2 linked regions of the Drosophila melanogaster genome follow. The gene in region 1 interacts genetically with each later gene. Each region holds a gene or a part of one and is shown in the gene's direction. Other genes may lie near its edges.

What was found.
Region 2: of nkd (region 1) and por, changing one enhances a phenotype caused by changing the other (phenotypic enhancement), as found in Drosophila melanogaster (one study listed by BioGRID).

Annotation. Positions count from the first base shown.
Region 1 is NT_037436.4:19,043,523-19,047,274, reverse strand, and holds the start of nkd (naked cuticle), read left to right. Parts: upstream 1-1,825; 5' UTR 1,826-2,907; coding exon 2,908-2,971; intron 2,972-3,752. UniProt on the Drosophila melanogaster protein: Cell autonomous antagonist of the canonical Wnt signaling pathway. May activate a second Wnt signaling pathway that controls planar cell polarity. Required for neuroblast specification.
Region 2 is NC_004354.4:18,377,858-18,381,609, reverse strand, and holds the start of por (porcupine), read left to right. Parts: upstream 1-1,755; 5' UTR 1,756-1,856; coding exon 1,857-3,434; 3' UTR 3,435-3,483; exon of another isoform or gene 3,484-3,560; 3' UTR 3,561-3,752. Other genes in the region: CG6179 (uncharacterized protein), read right to left, coding at 377-448, 511-619, 680-1,422. UniProt on the Drosophila melanogaster protein: Protein-serine O-palmitoleoyltransferase that acts as a key regulator of the Wnt signaling pathway by mediating the attachment of palmitoleate, a 16-carbon monounsaturated fatty acid (C16:1(9Z)), to Wnt proteins.

The DNA of each region.
Region 1 (3,752 bases):
GTCAGTCACATATGAACAGGAACCGCGCCCACCGGATTGCTGGGCCGCCAGACATGTTCCACTCGTTTTTGGGTAATTACATTTGCAGCCCGTCTGTCCTGTCCGCCGACTTTTGTCAAATACAAAGCGGCAAAATGTTGTGCGAAATTCGGCAGAACAAAGTGCTGGGGTTGGGGTTCGGATGCGAAACCGGAGTAAACATAAATCAATATCATCGGCTACAGGGCGGACAGATTCCCGACATCAATCAGGGGCCCGCATCCGAAATGTAGGGAGCGCAGGAGACGCGCGGCGCGTCTCCTCCTGAAATTAAGACGATGGATCAATGTATGACGAAGGCACCACAAAGGAGGGTCCGACAAAGAGAGAGACAAGACCCAGACCGAAACCATTCTGTTAGAAGGAGGTTCCCTCCGCCGCCTTTGCGGAGCCCCTTCTCGATCCCCTCACCCTCCGTTCGATCGCGTGTTCTTCTTCAATTACAGCGCCATTATACCGAAAGCCGAAAACGTTTTACGGTGCGAAAGCCTGCGGACCCCGAGGGCAAAGTTAACCCCTTGAGAGCGGTACATATTTAGAAGTTCTACATAAGAATATTGGTCCTCCTAAACGTTCAAATATAATTAGGAACATATAATGCCTAATGGAACATCAAGATATAAGGAGGTTTTGTTAGTTTAATCTCTTCTTGAAATTTCATAATATCTTATAATCGACTAGGTACACAGTTGATGTTTCAGTTACTAGCTCTCTAGAAATTTAACACGATATTAGTTATTACTATATTATTTAACGTATTTAAGTAAATGTGAAGTATGCAAAAATATTATATTTTACCTCCATAAATACACTAATATTTTTCAGGTTGCCACATTGGGCCTCAGTGGGTTAAAGGCAAGCCGATCACCGCGGGTTCCTTCCACTTGCTTTCGATCGCCGGAGAAAGAAAGAGCTTTGTGTTTCTTCATATTTTTTTTTTTGCCTCTGCGGCGTAATTCAGGATTCTCCTTGCTCTGTTATTATCGGCGGGTTTGAGCTTGGGTTTGGGGTTACTTTTTGGTTGGTGGTTGGTTGGTTGGTAATTGCCCTGATGTTCAAGCTCAGCAGGCGGCTTCTTCTGCGTGGCGAAAATTGGGGCAGGGGCAGCGGTTGAGATCAAATTTAAAAACAATCAAATTTTTTTCTGCTGCGGCTATGCATAGAGGCAAATTAAAACCGGGTATTATCCAAACACGTGTATAATCAAAAACCGATGGTGGAGGCAGTAACTACCAGTCAAAATTCAGCTTGAAAGGTGTAAGCCAAAAGAAAGCTCTAAATTTGAGGCGTGGCATTCGCTGCAATCAAATATGTTGCTCTAATAATTGCTTCTTTGTATGCAATATTTAAGAACGTTCTGTTATAAATGGAAAAATCACTGAAAATATATCACTCGAATTTTTAGTATAGTTTAGCTTAGTAGCTATTAAAAGGAAAATACTCCATAAATGTGAATGTATAAATTTGAAACAAAACATATGGTATTTGCAGTGGTTAAAAAAAAATGTAAATAAAAATAAATAAATTTTATTAATTTTTTACTGGTAAAATTTGAATCGTTTTTTAGAAGATAAAGAAGAAAGAAAAATATTTGTTTATATCATTTCATATATGTTGCTTGTCATGAACCAGAGTTCCATCATACCCTTTTCGAATAGAAAAAGAGATAACACGCCTTTACAAATTTCGAGTTCGAAATTGAGAGAACGTGTTCGAAAGAGAAAGAGCGGCGCTCGAAGATGAGTTTCGAACAACGGGCAATGTTTCGATTCTCGAACGACTCGCATTCAGATTGTTTTCGTCCGTTGATTCGAAAAGACGTGTGAACTGAGACTCGGAGATACAGCGGAAAGGATCTAGAAGATACGCGTAGTTTGGCCCACCAAAACAACTACTGACCGAACGGATTGTTGTGGCCCAGTGAAGTTATCGTTGAAATTGGAAATTGATCAAATGAATAAATGTATCCGCGAGATACGCCCAGTGAAGTTTTAATTTTCTAGCCGGAGAGAAAAATCAAGTGTGAAAAGCAAAAAGGAAAAACGAAAAACGAAAAACCGCCCCCACAACAATAACAAAAACAACCGGTACGCCACCCCCCGAAAAATTGACGTCGCCGTCGCCCTCGTCGCAATCGTTTGGAAATAAATCGTGTTTTTGCATTTGTTGTTTTTTGTTGTTTATACGCCAAGTTATTTACGTCGTCGCAAAGCAAAAAGAAAAAATTGAATAAATAACAACAAAACGGCTGGCGAAAAACAAATCGAGTCGGCGAAAATGTTTTACAATTAAAATTACGCGCGCAGCGGGCACAAAGGTACCAATATACACGAGTGCGAGCGCGAGTACGAGTATCTGCAAGATACACACACGTAGATCAAATAAAGCAGCGCAATATGCGCAAATTAAACTAAAATGCAGCACATCAGAGCTGTAAAAACTTTTACGACAGCGACTACGACTGGTAACTTGCCACCCGCACAGTCGAAAATAATACCAGATACAAATTAAGGTCGCCCAGCGGCAGCGCATAAACACGGTGGAACGGGAAGTGGCTGTGGAAGTGGAAGCGGAGGATTCTCTCGCCTCCTACCTGGAGTATATTAGTCTCAGTCCTTAGATCCTTACACAAAAGGATAGCCAGCCAGGGAGCGCAGAACGCACACACAAGGGCCGTAAAACATTTTGGGCTGCTGCTATACTGCAGGTCTCCTCCTCTCAGGACTCGTAAATTTCCAGCCCAACCACCACCACCGCCGCCCGAAAAACGGAAAATAGAAACACCGAAAAATCCAAGACACCGCCAAGTAACTGCATCCTCAACCCGCTTATATATAGAACTATATAGGTACATATATCCGGGCAGCGATGGCGGGTAACATTGTCAAATGGTGGAAGCATAAAATTCTCGGCGGCTACAAACAATTCTCAGGTAAGCGAAAGCCAAGCGTTCTCAACTTGTTTAGTGAATTTCCAGATAGTTGGCAGCAGATATGGAAAAGATGGATGTTAATGCTCTCGTGGGGAGAGACAGCTGGGCGATAGCATTCAGGGAAACAATTTGTTGGCCACAGTCAAGTAAATTAAATTGAAATATTGAGTGAGTCAGGGATTCGCAGGAAGATATCTTATAAATATGAAGAAAGTCGCTTAGGAATATATAATTATTGATTTATAATTGCATTTACTATTGAAATAATGATCCATTCCTATATCCACCTACCTGACACTAAAACCACTAACCCATGCAGAATGTTTTCCTTATTCATTTTTCCGTGGCCTCTTATCGAAGGCCATTCCCATTAACATACGACTATCTGGGCCGAAGATCTAAAATATTACCTTCTCCCAAACAATTGTTCACTCACCCGCACACAGATATGTATGTATTTGTGTGTATGTGTGTATTCGAATTCATTGAGTCAAGGGCTTCTCCCACATCCTTTTCCAATAATTACGGCGAACAACTAAAAGTTGAAAATAAAATGTAGGCAATCGCCCGGCTGCATTTTTATCTGGAAGATACACAGCCGTTCGTTCGCTTGTGGTCTTTGGAAATGGAAATGAAAATGGGTAGGAGAATGCCGGAGCAGCGACACACAAAAATAGAACGGAAAATCGGGCATGGTGCTGAAGAAGAAAAACACAACGGCAGGGCAGATCAAAAGGAAAGCGACCCATGGAAAATAAATAGAATTTTTTTTGGAAGCAGA
Region 2 (3,752 bases), on another chromosome or scaffold:
CTTCAATTTACATTACACGTTACAATTATACATAAAGAATATAATATTATACCTTAACCCCAAGATTGGCAGTGGTTTCATTTGACGGGGCTGTTTCCATAGAAATTCGGACTACTGGTTAATTGGTTGTGTGGTACGAGTATCAGTGTATTTATTTTGTTTTTTCCTATTTAACAATAAGTATGTATGCACTTCGTCTTGCAATAAACGAAAAGGTAGAATTGGAACAGATAAAATACCCAAGTTTTGTATAAGTTATGATACACAATTGTTTTAAAATCTGGAGAAATAATTGATTGTTTAAACTAGCTAGTGCTAAAACGATTACATTTCTATTGAAGTGCTCCCAAGTAGCTGGCGGCTATATAAATTCGTCTTAGGCCTGGAGCATGGGCCGTTTTTCCTTGGCCTGGAGGTGGTCGTTCGTCGTTGCGTAGCCAGTGCCGCCCTGTGAAATAGTCGAGAAACCTTAGCAATGCAGAATAGTTGCACAGTTCGCGATGTACTTACTCGCTGCAGGGGAATGATGTCCTTCTCCTTGAGCTTGCGATCCGTGAGCGGATGGATCATGTCCTTTCTGATCAGCCGTTCCACGCACTCCATGGTCACCACATCGCCACTGTAGTGAAGAGGTTACTATTAAAAGGGTTTTCAACGCGAAATCCCAGCGAGCACTCACGTGGGACGCAGCACAGCGCAGGGCACCGCGTTGCTGAGCACGTCGTGGGTAATGGGGCACATGTAGCGCGCCTCCTTGGCAATCAGCGAGCGCTTCGTGTCGCCGTCCTTGAGCAGCGTGAACTTCACATCAATCAGATCCTTGACTCGCAGCGGTTTCTGCGACACCGGGCAGTAGATGGTGGCGTCGGGCTTCTGGGCCTTGGCTAACCCGGCATTGGGGCACTCGGAGGGCAGCCAGAAGCTGGGCAGCTTCTTCTCGTGCCCGTTGGTCATGTTGGATATCGAGGATGCGGACGAGGATTCAGATGAAGCGGCAGCAGCGGCGGAAGAGGTCGACGGCTTCTCGCTGGCAGCGGCCGAGGAGTGGGCGGGTGTCATCGCTGGCTTCTCGGCATTAACAAAGCGCTCCATGCGCGCCTGCTGCTTGCTGTTGGCCTCCTGGCTCAGTTTATCCTCCTCCGCGCGCCGCAGACGCTCGTACTCCTTCAGTCGGCGGCTGTACTCGTTCTTCTTGGTCACGATGTACTGCAGGATGGCCTCCTTGTCGAATAGATAGCCATCCTTGGTGATCACTGGCCTGCGACATGGTTGCAGCGTCAAGGAGCAGCAGTCGAAGGATTTCACCGAATCCTTGCCCAGGCGCTGGGCATTCGTGCCGTAGCCGGACTCCGCCGCGTCACGCTTCTTCTCGTTGTAGGTGTACACGGCTCCGGCCGTGCAGTTACGTGCGTGGCGAGTCATTTCAATAGAGTTTCCTGGATTTGGCAGCGAAAAATTTGAATAAACTGCTTAAAATAGTTTATTTACTGCTAGATACGGTGTGACCGTATCTTGATCACTAAATAAGCTGAGACGCAATGGAAATCCGCTGAAATCTGCCAACTCAATAGCCGATAAAAACAACGAGCTATAAGCTGATACAAAACCTTTTCATCACTTGGTGTACAAAACAAACAGTTTTACAAGTTTAATACATTTTTTTTTATTTTGATTTTTAAAACTGTTTAAGCTACTGGTATTTTCAGCTTAGCTATAAACTAGCTATGAGTTCGAAGCCACCGATGTGGTATTTTCGGTATATTGCGCGGTATATTCTTTGCAAATAATTCCAAGTCCTCGGATTTCCGGGTTTTTCCTTGATTCCCCCGGATTGTATTGGCTTTGGGCGGCCGGCGATGGACTACCAGTACTTCGAGGAGGAATCGGACTACATTGATCTGGACGAGGAGGAGGAGGATGACGACGTGGTGACAGCCGGCAGCTTGGACCACAGATTTGGGCAGCCAAACGGCGAGGAGGACTATTATTTCGGCGGGGACGATGTGGAGGAGGAGCTGGTGGTAGATGGACACGGTGTCCTGGAGCTGGCCGGGCGCCTACTCGAGAGCCTGCAGAGCTGCGTGCAGCCATCTGTGCTGCAGGTCATGCAGTATGTGGCGCCCATGCTGCTCCTCTGCCTCCTGTGCCGCCTGCTGTGCCTCCTCTACTCGCAGCGCAGACGCCTCACCAGCCTGGCACCGCTGCATTTGTTCCACTTCGCCTGCGGCTTGATTATACTGCAGATCACGGTGGGCTACCGACTGCTCCTACTTCTCCTGCTGGCCGCCGTGGGCTACCTGCTGCTCCAGCTATTGCGACTGGGACGAAGAGGAGCTCAAGTTCTGGCCGTTCTAACCGTGGGCAGCCAGTTCCTGTACGAACTGCTCATTTGGCGGCGGCGCAGTGACTGGCCACAGCTGCGCGGCATCCAGATGGTGGTCAATATGAAGCTTATCTCGCTGGGCTTCGACCTGACCGCCAGTGGGCAGCTGCAGGCGAGGATTCCGGGTCCGTTTGCCTACCTGGGCTACATCTACAGTCCGGCCACCTGCGCCTTGGGGCCCTGGGTGAGCTTCGGCTGCTACATGGACTGTCTGGTGCCACGGAATAGCTGGCTGGTCAGCCTGCGTCGCCTCTTGCCCAACGTGGTGATCTGCGTGCTGGCCGTGACCGTGTCCAATTGCGTGGCTCCGGCGCTGAGTGACTTCTTCGGGGATAGCTCGCACTTCCTGGTCATGTACTGGGACGCACTGAGTGTGCGCAGCAGCCACTACTTTGTGGGCATGATGGCGCAGGCGCTGCTGGTAGCCTCCGATCAGCGACTGGACGGTGCCACCAAGGAGTCGGACATGCTGGGTCCGTTGATCTCGCAGCCCTGGCGCATCGAGTGGCCGCGCTCGATCAGCTCATTGGTCCGGAGCTGGAACATTCCCATGCACGAGTGGCTCAAACGGTACATCTACGCGCCCTGCAAGCCCACCGCGTCCACCTCGAGGGGACGCATCCTGGTGGTCGTGCTCTCCACCTATCTGGTGTCCAGCCTGCTGCACGGCATGGATCTGCGCATCTATCTGGTGCTCATCTCGCTGGCGTTCCTAGCCGAGGGTGAATCGCTGCTCAGGCGGCAGCTCGCCAGCCTCCTGAATGCCTGCATCACTGCCAATCTGTGTCCGGGCAAGGAACGATGTCGGTATAGCCACTGCCCGAGCAAACGGCGATTGAACTCCCTGTCCTACTGGCTGGCGAGGCTCACTAATCTGGCATTCACGGCGCTGGCCATCTTCCACCTGGCCTATCTGGGCGTCGTGCTGCTGGGCGATGACCTGGAAGTCGGCGAGGATGGCGACTCCTTCCTGTGGCACTGGCAGCAGGCTGGCTATCTCAGCCACTACATCGGTTTGGGCACCTTCGTCCTTTACCTGTTCATCTCGTAGACTCCGCAGGATCTTGCCGTCGCCAATACTCACTATGACTGATCTACACGTATTTATATTTGTAATCCCAAGCGTATATGCGCTTGTACTTTTTGTATCTTGTATCTATCTATTCGTATCTTGTAGTCTGTGTGCTGTGTGAGTACTTAATATTAAAGCATTCTGTGAAACGGACGCTGTGACGCGCTTCAATTTGGGTTCCTCTCAACTTCCAGCTGAATGGATAGCACTCCTGGGGGAAACTGGAACAAACGAATTTCCAACTGCCCCAAAGCCACCCCATCCATCCTGATGAAAATGCATACGAATTTGTTCAAA